Linked DNA regions of Daphnia pulex. The protein of the gene in region 1 purifies or fractionates together with the protein of each later gene. This does not show direct contact. Links are inferred from orthologs where the notes say so. Each region holds a gene or a part of one and is shown in the gene's direction. Other genes may lie near its edges.

The links. Proteins that work in one complex are often made in the same cells at the same time.
Region 2: the proteins of 60S ribosomal protein L5-like (region 1) and ribosome biogenesis protein BRX1 homolog fractionate together in Homo sapiens (co-fractionation; 3 studies listed by BioGRID and IntAct, with this or other methods). This does not show direct contact. The link is inferred for Daphnia pulex from reciprocal best matches to the Homo sapiens genes RPL5 and BRIX1.

Annotation. Positions count from the first base shown.
Region 1 is NC_060018.1:3,930,417-3,941,183, forward strand, and holds 60S ribosomal protein L5-like, read left to right. Parts: upstream 1-4,576; 5' UTR 4,577-4,713; coding exon 4,714-4,716; intron 4,717-4,860; coding exon 4,861-5,046; intron 5,047-5,122; coding exon 5,123-5,257; intron 5,258-5,320; coding exon 5,321-5,701; intron 5,702-5,767; coding exon 5,768-5,971; 3' UTR 5,972-6,033; downstream 6,034-10,767. Other genes in the region: fatty acid amide hydrolase 1-like, read right to left, coding at 1,527-1,640, 1,707-1,852, 1,934-2,107, 2,170-2,257, 2,316-2,358, 2,429-2,649, 2,725-2,855, 2,915-2,955 and 7 more; short-chain dehydrogenase TIC 32 B, chloroplastic-like, read right to left, coding at 6,107-6,310, 6,375-6,576, 6,641-6,851, 6,915-7,088, 7,161-7,268, 7,328-7,439; transient receptor potential channel pyrexia-like, read right to left, coding at 8,052-8,944, 9,010-9,584, 9,648-10,244, 10,312-10,767.
Region 2 is NC_060022.1:6,870,190-6,876,040, forward strand, and holds ribosome biogenesis protein BRX1 homolog, read left to right. Parts: upstream 1-3,759; 5' UTR 3,760-3,896; coding exon 3,897-4,007; intron 4,008-4,065; coding exon 4,066-4,221; intron 4,222-4,283; coding exon 4,284-4,404; intron 4,405-4,459; coding exon 4,460-4,584; intron 4,585-4,646; coding exon 4,647-4,782; intron 4,783-4,845; coding exon 4,846-4,940; intron 4,941-4,997; coding exon 4,998-5,297; 3' UTR 5,298-5,345; downstream 5,346-5,851. Other genes in the region: osteoclast-stimulating factor 1-like, read right to left, coding at 405-641, 709-816, 881-984, 1,068-1,185, 1,266-1,312, 1,406-1,439. UniProt on the Homo sapiens protein: Required for biogenesis of the 60S ribosomal subunit.

The DNA of each region.
Region 1 (10,767 bases):
ATAAATTGAGAAAAACGATATCGTCTAAATGAGACGGGTGCGGTAATTCTGAGTCTGAGACTTATTGAATATGGGTTCTCAAATCCTAACTTTGTCCATTTTGAAAGCCACGCCTAGAGTATCCGTGACTTTATGAGTTTAAACAAATAAGAAAATATCCAACAATTTTAAGCGTTCAATTTGAAAAGAAGGAAAATTCACTAAAATGACGGATACTAATTTTCTCTGAAAGCAAATCAAAAGTTGATGGAATTACAATATCAAGCAGACCATCCAGAATGCTGGACGTTTGCAACAAAGTATTCTTGTACTTTCTGTTGTTTGCCAACATCTCCATTCGTCTTCGATCGTATCGGCCCCTTGTGTCACCAAAGATGTTATGGATGACTCTCTCGGTCAACTTGATTCGCATCCTGACGGATTCTTCGTTCAACGCCCCCCTGAGCTCGGTCCATTCACCTGCTGGGGGGGAAAAAGAGATCACATTTTCGTCATCCGGCAACTGATCGTTATCTTCCTGTTGATGGCTCTTTTCTTGTGTGACATCATCATTATCAGCTGTTCGCGTGTTCTTTCTCTGCTGCAGCATTCCGGTCCTTCCTGTCCACCCGCGCACTCGATCCAAGATAGCCGCAAGCACCGATTGCAAACAGAAATTGCTTTGCCAGGGTCTAGAAACTGTTGAGTGGGAACTTTGACCGCCGAAAAAATTCGAATTATATTTTGAAAGTCGATTTACGGAAGAGTATCGATTCGACATCCGGCGGCATCCACTGTATAACGGCTAAAGCGAAATTTTGCAATTTTTGAAGGCGGCATAGATTGACGGGATAACGTTCAGAACATTTAGGCTTCACAATTTGGATTTGGGCTCCAAGGGGTCGGGTTTCTTTAAACCGTACACTTTGACGTGCTCTCATGGCTGGCGCGAAATAAACGGACGTGAAATGCGATTTTTTTCTTCCGCGTCTTTTGGTTTCTTTGAAGTCGCATTCTCTCCATGTCGAAGGGTTCGAATCCCTTGACGTATTGGCTTATATTGCAACGAAATTAGAAGTAGACAAAGTCTACGGAACACCTCGTGATGCAGCACAGACTGATTGGGTAATCGACAAGCCGACTGCAGGTTTCCTTTCAAATTTTTCCAGGTCAAAAAGTCAGGCCGTGTAAAACATCCCTCCCTGTTGAACTTTTCGGGAAAACATCAAATGATCGCTTTTGAACGCAAACACATTTTCGCATTTATTTTCAACTGTTTTGTGCTACAATAATAAACTGTAATGGAATGTTAAAATCAATTCTTATCCCCGATACTTAACACAACTACCTGCTTTGATTACTGTAATATCACAGTAAATTTAACATTTGTAAAATCTCTTTCCATAATATCAATAACTATTAATTTCAAAATCTTTTAATTGTTCCATAACCTTTCCTCTAAGGGTCCAAGTGGCTCTTGTAGCACACTGTCGTAAGGACGGAGAAACTAGTACCGCGCAAAGTGCAATGATTACGTAAGAGATAATTCAGACTCGGAAGGCGGAATCCAGGATACTCATAGTGCGAAGCACAACTTCTTCTTGATAGGGAAGACCAATAACTTGGACCGGTATAGGCAAACCAGTAGCTCCCCGAGTAGTCTAGGCAAATAGGAATCAAACGTTACGATTAAATAAAACTCTAAATGATTGATTTTTTTTTCTTACCTTTTTAACAAGTTTACAGACCAAATCTCTGAAATCATAGCCACCATTCATAAGCATATTTTGGTCTTCTTCCATTTCTTTGGTGACGGGAACGATACCAGCAGGTAAGTCAAGGAAATTGTAGAGACACGCATACGCAAATGCAGCTATTAGTCGGAAGAAACCAAAAAATTATTTCATTAGCTAATCCGGGCATAAATAAAGTTTGCAAGCGGTGCACCACTTACGTGTTACACGGCCAGTGTCTTTGGCTAGAGGAGCAGGGCAAGCGAATCCCGGACCGATGCATGTATCCAAGCGAAGATTCCTCCAATCAGCTAGAAAATTCGCTTTATATTCGCTCTGCTTAAGTATTCCATGCCAGAGTTGGTAAGAATGGCGATACTGATGCCCGGCAGCAGCTAATTCGGCGAATGGAGTAAATTTTAGGCCGTCATTTTATGCTAGAAGACTATCGACTTACCCATGAAACATGGCTCGAGACGAGGTGCGATTAAAGCCAGCAATGGCCGAATAATTTGCTTTACAAGGTGCGGTAGCTTCAGTGCAACCTAAGAAGACATTCGTTTAAAAAACTTATTATAGTAAAATTGAAACAGTTCAACTTACTTTGATTTGTAAAACTAACAATGGATCAATGTCATCAACTGAGCTGTAGGAGAAGATCAAATTAAATTATTAGATTCTTTTCCAACTAAACTATTGAAAAGTCGATGACTTACAGAGCCTCCAACACGTATCTGCCTTGATCCGCATAAAACATGCTGATGACAGAACTGATAACGTAATCAACGCGTGGCGGAACAAATGGAATGAGTTCGTGCCCTAACGCCTCCAACTTTTCCTTAGCCACTCGAACAGCTCGTCGGACACCAGGTGTACAGGGGAAGTAGTCGCATTCTTCGTAGTAACCGATCCGTAATTTGTTAGAAAGGCCAAATATCTATTTTACGTTAATAATTTTACATATTACAAACGTTTTCATGGGAAAGAAATATTTTTACTAATAATTTCTTACTTGTTCATTCCAAGGAATTGGAAGCAAATCTGGATCGAAGTATCTCCGGATGTAACCATCGTCAAGGAGTAGTTTGCAGAGCATTATCACGGTTTTTGAATCTCGCGCCAAGATTCCCGGTACAGAAGGAACTACAAAATTGGATTACAAAATTAAAAGAATGTAATGGTTTGAAGGTTTGTTGCCTTACTTCCAATGCAACCAACGGCCGATTTTCTAAATCCTTTGTAGCTAGATAGACAGAAAAATATTTCGAATTCAGGGAAGTGAATAACCAGAATATTGAAATACCTGAGTCTTAAACTGGTAGGTTTAATTGAAAAAACTCCACAGAAAGCCGCCGGAATGCGAATACTTCCCCCGATATCACTACCAATTCCTGGTAAATGTTATACACGATTTTTTTCTAAACTTTATTTCAATATAATATTAATGTATTCGAAGAATTTTACCGAGTAGGGAACCTCCAGCAGCAACTAAAGTTGCTTCTCCACCAGAGGAACCGCCTGGTGTTCGCTCTTTACAAAAGGGGTTTTTCGTAGAACCCCATATCGGATTACTACATCCAAAACTGTTGGTAGGAGACAAAATGAATTTAAACGTACCATTCTAGCTAAACGCAAAACTGCATTGGCAACTATACCTTAACAATGTTTGGGGGACATTAGTTCGGCAAAATGGTATGGCCCCAAGGCCTCTGAGTGCAGAGACCAAAGCGGCATCTTCCACTGCAGATTGATCAATAAACTTCGAAATTCCCGCCGTGCAATCATAGCCAACTAAAAACAAACATAGTGTTTTAATATTATGCTTGATTTTAATATTCTGCCGGCAAAACGGCATACCGTACCGACACTGACGTTATCTTTGACGCTAAACGGAAGACCATGGAGCGTTTTTTTTGTATCAGTGCTAGCGTCCAGTTCTTCTGCCCATTTCTGAATAAATATGCATTGCAATTGCGTTAACATACAAAGGATATACACAAAAATTATTTCAGACTTTTACAATACCTCTGCTTCTTTGATGAATTCTGTGACACAGTTTAATTCTTTTGTTACATCCAGAGCCTAAAAGAAAAAAAAGAGTGATTAATTTTTATCAGTAAAAACACTTGAAGACTTGCTATAGTGATTACCTTTGCTTGATATGCTCTCAGCACTTCCAGACAGCTCAAATCCCCATTTTGAAGCTTCTTTAGCAATTCTTCTATATCCAGCTGGACTATCTCCTTACGCTTTTCAATAACTGGGTCATCATGATTTTTAAGATGTTGTTCCAATTTATTTTGATTTTCTTTGACCTGACCCAGTTTGCGCCTGATTCTTTCTTTCAGCAACCCCTGGAATAATCCCAGAAACATTATTATTACAGAAAAATCATTTTAAAATCACGCGTTGATATCTGTACTAACACACAATGCTTACATACCCTCTTGTTTGTGTATTTTAGAACTTTAAATGTTATGTAAACTAATCCCAATCCAATCAAGACCATAAGGAAATTGGAATCCTTTAACCATTTTGCACTGTCTTCAAAATACATGAAGAACACAAGATTAATCAACACAACAAGGAGAACTAAGGTAAACAGCAAACAGCAATTTTCCTAGGCCCAAGTAGGCTAATATTGCGATTTTCAAATTTTGACAGCTCACAGCTGACATAAGAACAGCAAAACAGCTGAGAGATTGAAAAATGACATTTGTTATTTTCTATGAATTATGAATGTATTGAAGCTTAATACTATCTATATTAATTATAAAATATTTTTTTTTTGTATAAAAATTCAATTATTAAATGAAAAATAATAATAAACAAGTAAAGCGGACTAAAAATTTCCTACTTGGCAACACTGACAGACGTTGATTTCAGCTTTAAGGCCAACCATACCTTTCTCAGTTAAGCAGGGCCTCGACGAGTAGTCGAAGCCACAGTCCGGCCATTTTTCGCCCTTAAACCGAAGCTATTCAAATAATATATCTCCACCATGGTAAGTTTCTAACGTATAACTTTGTGTCAAGTAACACCCTAACCAAATTTAAAAGTTGCATAACGATAGATGTCGTATTTAAGTTGTGATATCGTTGGATTCAATATGACTTGTCATGCCGCTTAACGTGTTTGTTTTTTATAGGGATTTATTAAAGTGATCAAGAACAAGGCTTATTTCAAGCGGTTTCAAGTCAAGTTCCGCAGGCGTCGTGAGGGAAAGACCGATTACTATGCCCGCCGTCGTCTTGTAGTTCAGGACAAGAACAAGTACAACACCCCCAAGTACCGCATGATTGTTCGATTCACCAACAAAGACATTTGTTGTCAGGTAATTTTTGGATCACCCACTGACTGCAGTCTTTTCATGTTTTGATCTTTCAATTTATTTGTGTCTTGTCTTGCAGATAGCGTACGCTCGTATTGAAGGAGACGTGATTGTTTGTGCTGCATACAGTCATGAACTTCCTCACTACGGTGTCAAGGTTGGGTTGACTAACTATGCTGCTGCATACTGTACTGGACTTTTGCTCGCAAGAAGAGTAAGTTTGACCGTGTTGTTGAAAAACCAGTACAATGACTAAACTGTCAACATTTTCCTGTAGCTGTTGAAGAAGTTCAAGTTGGACACCATCTACCAAGGCTGCACTGAAGTTACTGGAGGAGTCTTCAATGTTGAAGATGTTGACGATGGACCAGGTGCATTCCGCGCTTGCCTCGATGTCGGTTTGGCCCGCACCACCACCGGTGCTCGCATCTTCGGCGCCATGAAGGGAGCCGTCGATGGTGGAATTGACGTTCCCCACAGCACCAAGCGTTTCCCCGGCTACGATTCCGAATCCAAGGATTTCAACGCCGAAGTTCACCGTAAGCACATCATGGGTGCCCATGTTGCTGACTACATGCGTCAATTGGTGGATGAAGATGAAGAAGCTTACAAGAAGCAATTCTCTCAGTTCATCAAGCATGGCATTGTTGCCGATACCGTAAGTTCAGTTATTCATATGATTTGCATTAAAAAAACGTAGTTTTTATCTATTATCATTCATCAGGTCGAGACCATGTACAAGAAGGCCCATGAAGCTATCCGAGCTGACCCCGAGAAGCAGAAGTCCAGCAAGGATCCATCCAAGATCAAGAAGAAGCGCTGGAACGCCAAGAGGCTCACCCTGGAAGAGCGCAAGGCTCGTGTTGCCACCAAGAAGAGGGAATTCCTCTCCAAACTGGAGGCTTCTGCCGAAGCCGACGACGAGTAGATTATTCGACTTCGTTTGTCTGTGCTCTACGATCCAATAAATCGATGGATTGCAGCCATGAATCATGTTTTTTTACTTTTTTTCAGTTAGGAACTAGAAAATGAGGTCTTTCGTTTTTGTTTGACACGCTTTTTATTATTGGGAACTTTTAACTTTTCCAAATTCTTCAATATCAAGTAATTTGTGTGTTGCATCCCACAGCTTTAATCGCATACTTGGACAGATTGATTTAGTGGCGGGTGTTGTTATTTTGCAATCTGATAAATAGCAACCGCTGGAGTTTTCCAATTCGGGTGAAAATGCTGTATACAAAACTCGTTGGGCTGCAACTGGTTCTCTCTATCAAAAGTTTTTAAAAATTAAAGTAACATTATTTACTTTTTCTTTTCTCGTATAACTATACCTTAAGTAAGAAGCCAACGATACGAAAACCGATTTTCAAAAACCTTCCATTGGCGTACCAGTTGGATTGAATAACACCCGGATGCATGGCGTAGCACTTGACAGGATAGTTATTTTGTGTCAAACGATCATGGAGCATTTCGTTAAATAAAACCTGTGCTAATTTGGACTGGGAATAAGCCACAAATCTGTTGTAAAAAGACCTTTAAGGGGTGGGGTAAAAAGAAATTATTAGCTGTTTACTAACGACCCTTAGAAATATTATACTTGGCGTTTAAGTCATTGAGTTCTAGATAGCCGAGGTAAGATACATCTGAAGCAACGTTAACGATTCGTGAAGCATAACGATGATGCTTTCCTGCTTCAATTAATCGAGGTAAGAGTAGATGAGTTAAGAGAAAATGTCCCAGGTAGTTGACAGCAAACTGTTGCTCTAAACCGTCTGTTGTCAAGCCATAGGGTGTGAACATAACGGCGGCTGTTATCAAAACAAAATTTGTCTTTAAATGTTTGCCTTGAATAATCACGAGAAAAAAAATACCATTGTTTATGAGTAGACTGATCGGGATGTTTCTGTCAGTGACAACTTTTGCAAAATTTCTGATCGAATTTAACGATGACAAGTCGAGATTTATCCATTCCACTGAATCGGCTGGAATACCAGCTTCTTCCAAATTCTCAAATAGTTGTTGTTTACTTCTTCCATCCCGGCAACCTGTATTACGTTAACAGTGTTTAGAATTTCGTCCATTTTGACAGTAGATTGAAAAGAAAACCTGTTTTGTACCTGCAATGACTTTCATTCCAGAAGCCTGCAAGCCCAGAAGAGTGTAGAAACCTAATCCTCGATTCCCACCGGTGATTATAGCATATTCTTCTCGTCGATTGATAGGATCTGATGAACGAAATGTAAAATATTGAATCACGAATATGGAAAATAATTTCTTTGTTTACCATTGAGTGGTTTCACAGTTCTGCAGGCTTCTTGGAACAATTGTTTTGCACTGAGATAAATAAATTTAACCATGATGTACAATTCGTATACAAAGCTTCGAAAGGCATCCATGGTCACACGAAGATTTAGAGACGGCTTCACCCTGAAAGTTATTTTCCAACGAATGATATCAAGTTAGAAACACAAGCACAGACTGACACGGTTGTGTTCATGAGCCCTGGGCAACACAACACTCTAAGGCATTTTTACTGCCTAACGGTCTTACCGTTGTCATGCACTCATGCGCTTTACAACATCCTGCTGATGGAACATGCTAACTTTTTTCAGTTTTTACACTTTAAAAAATGTTTTTCGTAAGAAACTTTAAATTTCACGATATTCAATTAAATGTAAATTATGAACTTCTCATTCTTTGATTATGGAATAGCAAAAATTGTTTCCCATCACGTTACGGTAACCATTTTTATTTTATCTCGTAGATGTCCTCCAAACGGAGCAAACAAAACGCTATGCTACAAGTTGTACAAGCTCAGACATAATATCACTTCTACAAAAGCTGGATCCATACCACATTTCCCGGATATTTGGTAATTATAATTTTTTTTTAAATAATTAGTGTTAGTTATCGACTCGAGTGTGGAAATTCATGGAAATGAATTGACCATTGAATATGTTATTGAGCAAAAGGTTATATACTGATTTTAAAAATGGGTGGGTGGATCATCAAGCCAGTGAGCTCATTCCAGGAACACTGAAGGATTCTTCGTTAATCATGGAACAATCACAAGAATGCCTTGTCTGTCGTGATCGAGTCGATGGGTAGTTGTATTTGGCCGTCAGCTGCGCGAGTTGATCTTCTATCGTCGAATTTATCGTAACGATTTGTGTCATGTAATTATGGAAGAGTTCGTCAACTCTGTTCATCACTTCCGTAAAGAGCTCTCCGTTATTTGAATCCAAAGGTATCGTTGCAGTTCGAATGATTGGTACGTGGGACGACTTTTGTTGTGCGCCTTTCTTCTTGTTCGCTATCCTTACAGCAATTATTTTCAACAGGCTTTCTTTGATTTCGGGTGGGAAGCTTTTATCACGCGGATCGTTGGGTCGGAAGTTGTAATTTTTTCTGGTTTTGGGTGAGACGACCAGGACATTTCGCCGTATGAATTCACGTCTTGGAACCTTTGACCAGATACTGGAAAAATGGATGGGCCAAGGAAAGAAAACGAAACTTTCCATGCGAGCAATTTGTTTTGTTAATCGAACGAGGCGATCCAGACCAGCCGATTTCTGCAAGCCTTGAATATCGGAGACGGCCAAACCGACGAGTAAATTCATCAGAACGATGACGACGAAAAGAAGAAAAACCAGGAAGACGAAATGGGTTGTTCCGGGATATTTGATTTTTCCCTCGGTATACATGTCGGCGTAATTCATTTCGCCCGTCATCATGACGATCGTCGTCAAAAGTGCGTAGGGCATGTTGTTATAGACACTTTCCGAAGGAAAGAGAACTGCGAATCCTAGAGAAAATCCCACGATGAGACTCATATAAGCCACCAACAGTTTGCCAATGTTCCACGCGACAGTCGTAAACATTTGCACGTACAGACCAAACACTAAAGAAAAATAAAATCAATGAATTAGAGTCTATTAAAAATGGAGAGATAAATCAGAACATTACCAGGAAATCGACCGACGTGCAACATGAGATTAATCCATGCCACGATAATAACGATGGCGGCAACGTGATGTTGCCAATCACCATTATCGGGCTCACCTGTGTGCATTGGGTGAGGGGAAAGGATAAGGATCATTCCAAAGATGGAAATGAGTTGGAAATAGTTCTCTATATCCCTCGCATATTCGTGCGCATTGCAGTAAAGTTGGAAAAATTCCTTGACACCTGTCGCCGCCCCCAATAAGACTGTCAAATACCACAATGTGGTATCCAACTCCATTGGCCAATCAGTGAATGACGTCGAGTTGTTCGTCGTATTGTTCGTTGTTTGCGTATCGTTTACTCTCGTGTTCATTTTAACAACATAAATGGAGTAAATGTTGGATGTCAGGGCGAGAACGTATAAAAGTTGAAAGATTAGCGAGACTACAAAAGTGGTGCGAATTTTCATCCACTTCAAGTGAAGAAAAGCCCCAATAATTGGATGCTGAAGAATGTGTCGTTGTTCGGCCGCCACCAACGACGTCAGGAAACCCATTTCTCCAACATTTTGCTGGTTGCCCCCTGGTACTAAAACTCTAAAGGAAAAACTATATTAAAAAAAAAAAATGTTTAATAATTACAAATAAAAGTCAAGTAACCTTAAATCCAACTTCAATTGACAATCAGGATCGGCTGGCTCGTTGTCGACAACGTCAATAGCTGAATCTAATTTGCGTGAAATGGCTGTCAAGGCGTCGGGTACTCGTCGGACGACTGAGGCCAAAGCCGAAATTTTTGCTCGATTCTTAATTGACAGATCGGCTCCCGAATGGATCAAAAGGATAGCCAATTTTGAATTTTCATTAAACGCCGCTATGTGAAGTGGCGTTTGTCCAAACTGATCCTTTGCATTGACATTAGCTCCCTTGGAAATTAACAACTTGACGACCTCGGTCGACTGACGACATTTGACTACAGCCCCGTGAAGTGGCGTCTCCTTCATTTCATCGCAATTGTCAATTTCCGCTCCGTTTTCCAAGAGTTCTTTAACCGAGTCCACTGATTGAGAAAGGGCCGCCAAATGTAAAGGTGTCCGACCTAGGGCATCCTTGGTGTTGATTTGCGCTTTGCTGGTCTGTAAAAGCAATCGAATGCATTCCACGTTGCCTTCGAAAGATGCCAAGTGAAGAGCATTCCTCCTCTCGGCTCCGAAGACCACACGGATGTCTGCTTGATTTTCCAACAGCAATTGCATACTGAGCCAGTAATTAATTTATTATTATTATTAACTATTAATTTATATAATAATTATAATAATAATACCATTGAACGTCGCCTTGGACAGCCGCCACATGAATCGGCGACTCGGTGTAAACTTGCAAACTGTTGACAGCAGCACCGGCCTTGATTAGACGCGTAGCGCAAACTATCGAACGAGCTCTTATGGCCCATAATAAAGGACTACTACCGTCCAAATGTTTGGGATCGGAAAGCCCTGCATTGACTTCTGCTCCGGCATTTAAAAGGACTTCGACCAATTCGATACGACCTGAAGCGGCGGCGCAAATGAGCGGAGTCGCTTCTTCGTTTCGATCCCACACGTCAACGGCTGCACCGTGTTCGATTAATATTTCAATGCATTGGGGGGCGTTTGAACTAGAAGAACTGGCCGCGTAATGTAGGGCCGTCCTGTTCAGCAAATCGATGGCATTGGCATCACCTCCAAGTCCAAGGAAATATTTCAACATGTCAATATTTCCTTTGAGAGCAGAGACCAAA
Region 2 (5,851 bases), on another chromosome or scaffold:
TGGCCCGTGTTTCAGCCCTAACCTCGAGTACGTCTTTTTTATAAAAAAAAAAAGAAAAAAAAATCTCAAACCTTGTAACCTGAATCTGTACGGGAAGAATCAAACAAATTTTGACATAGAATCAAAATAAAATACTTTTGAGAATTTGTTTTTAGGGTAATTTTATTTTTTACTGAATGTATTTATCACCGAAACTAAAAACAATGATTCACAACAATATGAACATTTTACAAGTTGTAAAACAAATAACATTCCTATATGTGAATAAAAAATAAACAAATCAATTTGAAAATACAGCACACATTGAAAGAAGTAAATGTAAAAGATATTTCATGAAAATTTAGTTTGTTAACTTCAGCCTGCTTTTCAAGAAAGAACTGATTCCATTAAGACATAATAATTTATCAGTCAGAATCCAATTCCTCAGCATTACCAAAGTATTCACTAACATTGTTTGATATAAGGCTATCATCATGCTTGGCTATCATATTGATAATCTCAGGATCCCTGGAAAGAGCTAAGGCTTTGTTCCCTTCACAATTTAAAATGTTTGTTTTTGCTCCACTTGAAAGTAGCAAACTAACAGCTTCAATTCTACCTTTCCAAGCAGCAGCATGAAGTGCAGTGTCTCCTAATTTATTCTATGTATATATAAACAAATATCTATTAGATTATAAAATAAATAATAAAATTAGGTAAATTAATTACTTGAGCATTTAAATCAATTTTTTCTGATTGCAGTAATAGTTGCATGCAAGAAATATGTCCTCCATGGGCTGCCCAGAACAAGGCTGTATTACCTGCTTTATCGAGTTGCTTAAAAAAAAATAATGAAACTTCAGCATCAGTTATAACTCCTAAATGGAGCTAATTAACTTGCATTCACAGACACTCCATTGAGAATTGCCTCTTCTAAAAATAAGACATTCCCACGCCGACATGCATCATGAAGGGGCATTGTTATCAACTCAGCATTTTCTTCAACTGACAGAAAATGAAACAGAAAATGTGTTGATTGTTTCCTTAATAACACTTTTCAATGGATAACAATATTTGATTCAAGTTACCATAATTGCAGGGAATTAATCCAGTACAGGTACCACACTTAGCCTTTAGCCAGTTAGGGTCTGAGGAGGATTCCATGACATATAACAACTCTCCTTCTTCAAATGACAGTTCATCAGGCTAGGAATATGAGCATGTTAATTAAGATTATTTCTGAAGCCTTAATTGTTAGAATTGTATAGCAAAAAAATAAAACTTACATGCTGTGCCGTATAGGCGTATAATGCTTTAACGACTTTCACTTGCCCTGTCATGACATTTCAATATTATTGACACATTGACAGAGGAGGCAGGGAAAACTTTTTTAACTGTAAATTGAAGTGTTGAATATTACTAATACCTGGTTTTGGAGGTTTCGGAGGAGGTACATTCATTTTTAATTCAAAGAAAATATACTTTTAAGTATTCACAAGATTTATTTCAATTTAGGTTTTTTCCAAAGTAAAATGGTTTTTCATACGTCCATAAGGCCATGAAGGGGGAATGATAAGGAAGGATAAGGCACGACTGGGGTTTTTTTCATAGAGGGCGAACCTAGCGGAATTTTTTCACTGGCAGACCAAAACACCAAACTGCTTTTCGGCGCGGATAAGAGGATTGCATTGCATGTTGTAAACTTCCTCCCGATTGGCGATTGCATAGAAGTCTAGAACTAATTATTAGGAAATAACAAAACCGCATGCTCAACCTTTTTCGATGCATAATTAGTGGTACAGATTGTTTGCTTATCTCCTGGCAAGTAAGCAACGTAGGCAGTAGGCAATGCAAGTATAAATATTCATTTCTTGAATTCTTTTCAACAATTTTATCTTTCCTTCGTCGTATCGCAGCTTTTCCTGCATTTTATATATCAGAGTGAAAAAATTACATCTGACAAATTTGCTTGTAGCCTATTATATGTATATATTTACTTATAATAGTGCAAAGGGTTTTAGTTTTAATACCGCAAGTGGAAAAATAAATCGACTTATCGAGAAGCTTCCTTTCGCTTCCAATTTCGCACAGCAGCCAACCATATAACCCTGTTTTTTGAAAGCCTTGCCTTTCGTCAGTGGTATGGAGTATGGACTATGGAGAGATGGTTTCCAGCATCCATTTTTAAAAATTTCCCATAAGGGGCCGTCTGCTCATTTTACTAAAAGGTCGAGTTGACTGTTTATATGTCGCAACTCGCAACGTCCTAGATGGCGTTGATTCAACTCGACCTCCATACAAAATCGCTAGTAAAAAAGTAGCAAAGTAGCTTGCCGTCGAATCCCCTTATGGGAAATTTAACATGGTCATTGGCATCCATCTTTCCATACCCTTGCTTTCGTTTATTGTTTAGTTTATTTCCTGAAGAGGCCTTTATCTGTTTGCGAGCATGGCGACATGCGATTGGCTCGAGTCTTGTGTTGGCGAGAGGAGAGATAATATATTAAGGAATTATATAAAATAAATTATTATTAATATTAACTAATTTAAGCTTAGTAATAGCTTAGTTAAGTTAGAGCACAAGTTCGTAATCCAGTGGCCGTCTGAGACAGCATTTTCAAATTTGGAATTGGAACATTTTCCACGAATGGGAATGGAGAAATCAGGCTCTGTCCCTAAACTGCGAAAGCGAAACGCGAAACGCGAAACGCCTAAAATGCGGAAAGGCTGTGCGAAACGGACCAAAATTTTTGGACCGTTTCGCGGGACCAAATGCCGGAGGGCATACTAAAATGCGAAACCTCAAAATGCGAAACGAAAATGTTTTCTTTTCCCCACCAGAGTGCAAATTGACGGATGAGGCCCGTTTAGGCCGCCATGTTTCATGACTCATAGTATATGTAATGTGAATGTATGTATGGATATGAATGTGTGTACTGTGTACACTATATATTAACGAATATTACTTTTCGCTAGAGTTTTGAAAATAAAATGTTTGTATTTCATGGGAAAACAGTCTTATCAAATTAAATTTATTTAGTCGACTCGATTACTCTTGTTTCTTCAAGAGCACGGGGGTCCCTCGGATGAGCTCTTGAATGAGAAATCTCCAATTAAGTCTTTGTGGAATAGAGGCGGAAGAAGCTTTCAGCACGTTTTAGCTGGGTGGCATTTTCAATAAATTTTAATCGAATAGCTATATATATTTAGACGCCGGGCTGCTATCGGCTGATAGTTTTTTCCATTTGACTTGGTCAGCCGATTTTCCTCGGCGAACAACTGTTGAGAGAAATTCCGGCTAAGAGAAACAGATTGATCGAATGACATAGAGAACGTCGACGACGTAACAATGTGTTAATGTACCCCGCTGGGCGCTGTGGGATTATTTTTGTTTAAGACATTGAAAGGGGGGAGCAATCAAATTTTATACACGGAAAATTTAGTTCGAACTGATTCCCGGTAGAGGGATTTTCCCGTGTATGCTTATGGAATCGCGATTGCTCGGATAACTTACTTGATACGCCCCTTGACGAGTAGATTTTTGTGACGCAAGTATGTTAATGGCGTCGTCTGTTGACGTTCTGTTGACATTTCGCACCCACCGATTTCGCATTTTAGTACGGACCCAAGGCCTAAAATGCGAAACAGGGTCCCAACTTTTGGGTCCGTTTCGCACAGCTTTTCCGCATTTTAGGCGTTTCGCGTTTCGCGTTTCGCTTTCGCAGTTTAGGGACAGCCGAGAAATCAGATATGTTTATGAACGCACCCTTAAAACAAATGAAGGCAGTAATGCAGTATACGTTCACTCGCACGTGGTCTTTGTGTCTTCTGCTTCAACATTCTGTCGTTAGTTGGTTCAGAATTTCAAGCTTAAATCTCGAAGTGCCTGCTAACAATTTTTAAGCTTTTACACTTTCATGATGGCGAAAAGAAAGAAGAGCACCATCATGCCGGAATCGAAAGATAACAAAATTGAAGAAACTGCATTGCCATTGGTGCGAACATCAGACGAGCCTGTGACGAAAAAGGTATATGCTAATCTAAAAATCAGTGACAATTTTTTTAATTCATGCTTAAATCAAATAGGCGAAATGGGTGAACAAACAAAGAGTTCTTGTCTTTGCTGCACGTGGAATAACACAAAGAGATAGGCACTTGATGGTTGACTTGCGTGATATGATGCCTCACTCCAAAACAGAAAGTAAATTTGAGAGAAAGGACCCTCTATTTGTCATCAATGAAGTAACATTTTCTTTTCAATTTCATAAATTAAGTACTAATATTCAAATAACATCTTCATGTAGATTTGTGAAATGAAGAATTGTAGTAAATGCATATTTTTTGAAGGAAGGAAAAAACAAGATTTGTTTCTTTGGCTTGCAGATGTTCCAAAAGGGCCTAGTGCTAAATTTTATATTGAAAATGGTCAGTTTATTAAAGTAATAATATGATCAGTACTAAATTTATTATTTTTTACTAGTGCACACAATGAAAGAATTGAAAATGACTGGAAATTGCTTAAAGGGCACAAGACCATTGCTATCGTTTGACTCCAGTTTTGACACACATCCACATTGGTCTCTATTAAAGGAACTCATGACACAGGCAAGGTTTTATTTATATTTTCTTCAGGATGACATAATTTTTTTTTATTTTAAAATTTTAAGATCTTTTCAACTCCTAAAAATCATCCCAAAAGTCAACCATTCTTTGACCATGTTTTCACTTTTACGATAATTGAAAATCGGATCTGGTTTCGAAACTTTCAAATTCTTGAAGAGGATGGTCAGCTTGCGGAAATAGGTATTTTTATTTTTTTTCCCTTTGGTTTCTAAGATTGTTGTTTAAAATGATTCGAATGTATAGGGCCACGATTTGTGTTGAATCCCATCAAAGTTTTCGATGGGAGTTTTGGCGGAGAAACTATTTGGGAAAATTCTAGTTATGTTACGCCAAATGCGGTATTTTTAAATAATCCTTTTCCACTTACAACACATCCTATCAAGTTTCTTCTTTAGTATCGCCGAATGCTGAACTTACAAACAGGATTGAAGTATCGTCAGAAAATTGAGCAAAAGTTGTCGCTGGCAGCAAGACAACCGACAGGAGATCTATGCGATTTGGACCCGCTTGATGAAGAGGTTTTTGAGGACAAAAATGCAGCTAAAATTGTTAAAGAAGTTGCGAGCAATCGTGGTGAAGGTGGGAAAAAAAAGAAAAAAGAGAAGAAAAAGAAGATGAAGAACCCAAAAGCAACTGGCAAGAAAAGAGCTGGAGCTATTTTTAATGAAATCTTGGGTGATTCTGGCGATGAATAACTGTTGTCTTGTAAACGACGTACTGAATACAAACCGTTCTGACGCTGATATTTTCTTGAGTTCCCCTTTTAAATAACAAAGACAATAAATTGTTTAGGTTAAGTAATTTTTATTTCATTTTATTAGAAATAAACATGAAATGATTACAATAAAAAAAAACAGACAACTTAAAATGTCTTCACTTAGTGAACTGAAATCAGAAGTTTTTTATGTCTTAAGCGAGTCATTATGTGATTGGTCTGATTTCCCACTCAAGCACAGATAAAGAAGTGGTCTTGATATGTGACTCCTGTGTGTTTGTCTTTGGATTAACTCATGGTGCATGGTGGAAACAGTCTATAAATTTATTTGACATATAAGACAGACCATATAGACTGGGTGGAAAGGTGGATTGGCACTGCATCACTATACACAGGACTGCAGGACAGCGAGGACTGGGCTGGGACTAAGTGAGTTTACACTTGAAAAATTAAAATACCTGGTATCTGGTAACCTGGACCTGGAGTACATTAGTAATGGGTTGGACATTTGGCAATGCTGTTATTGACTGTTGG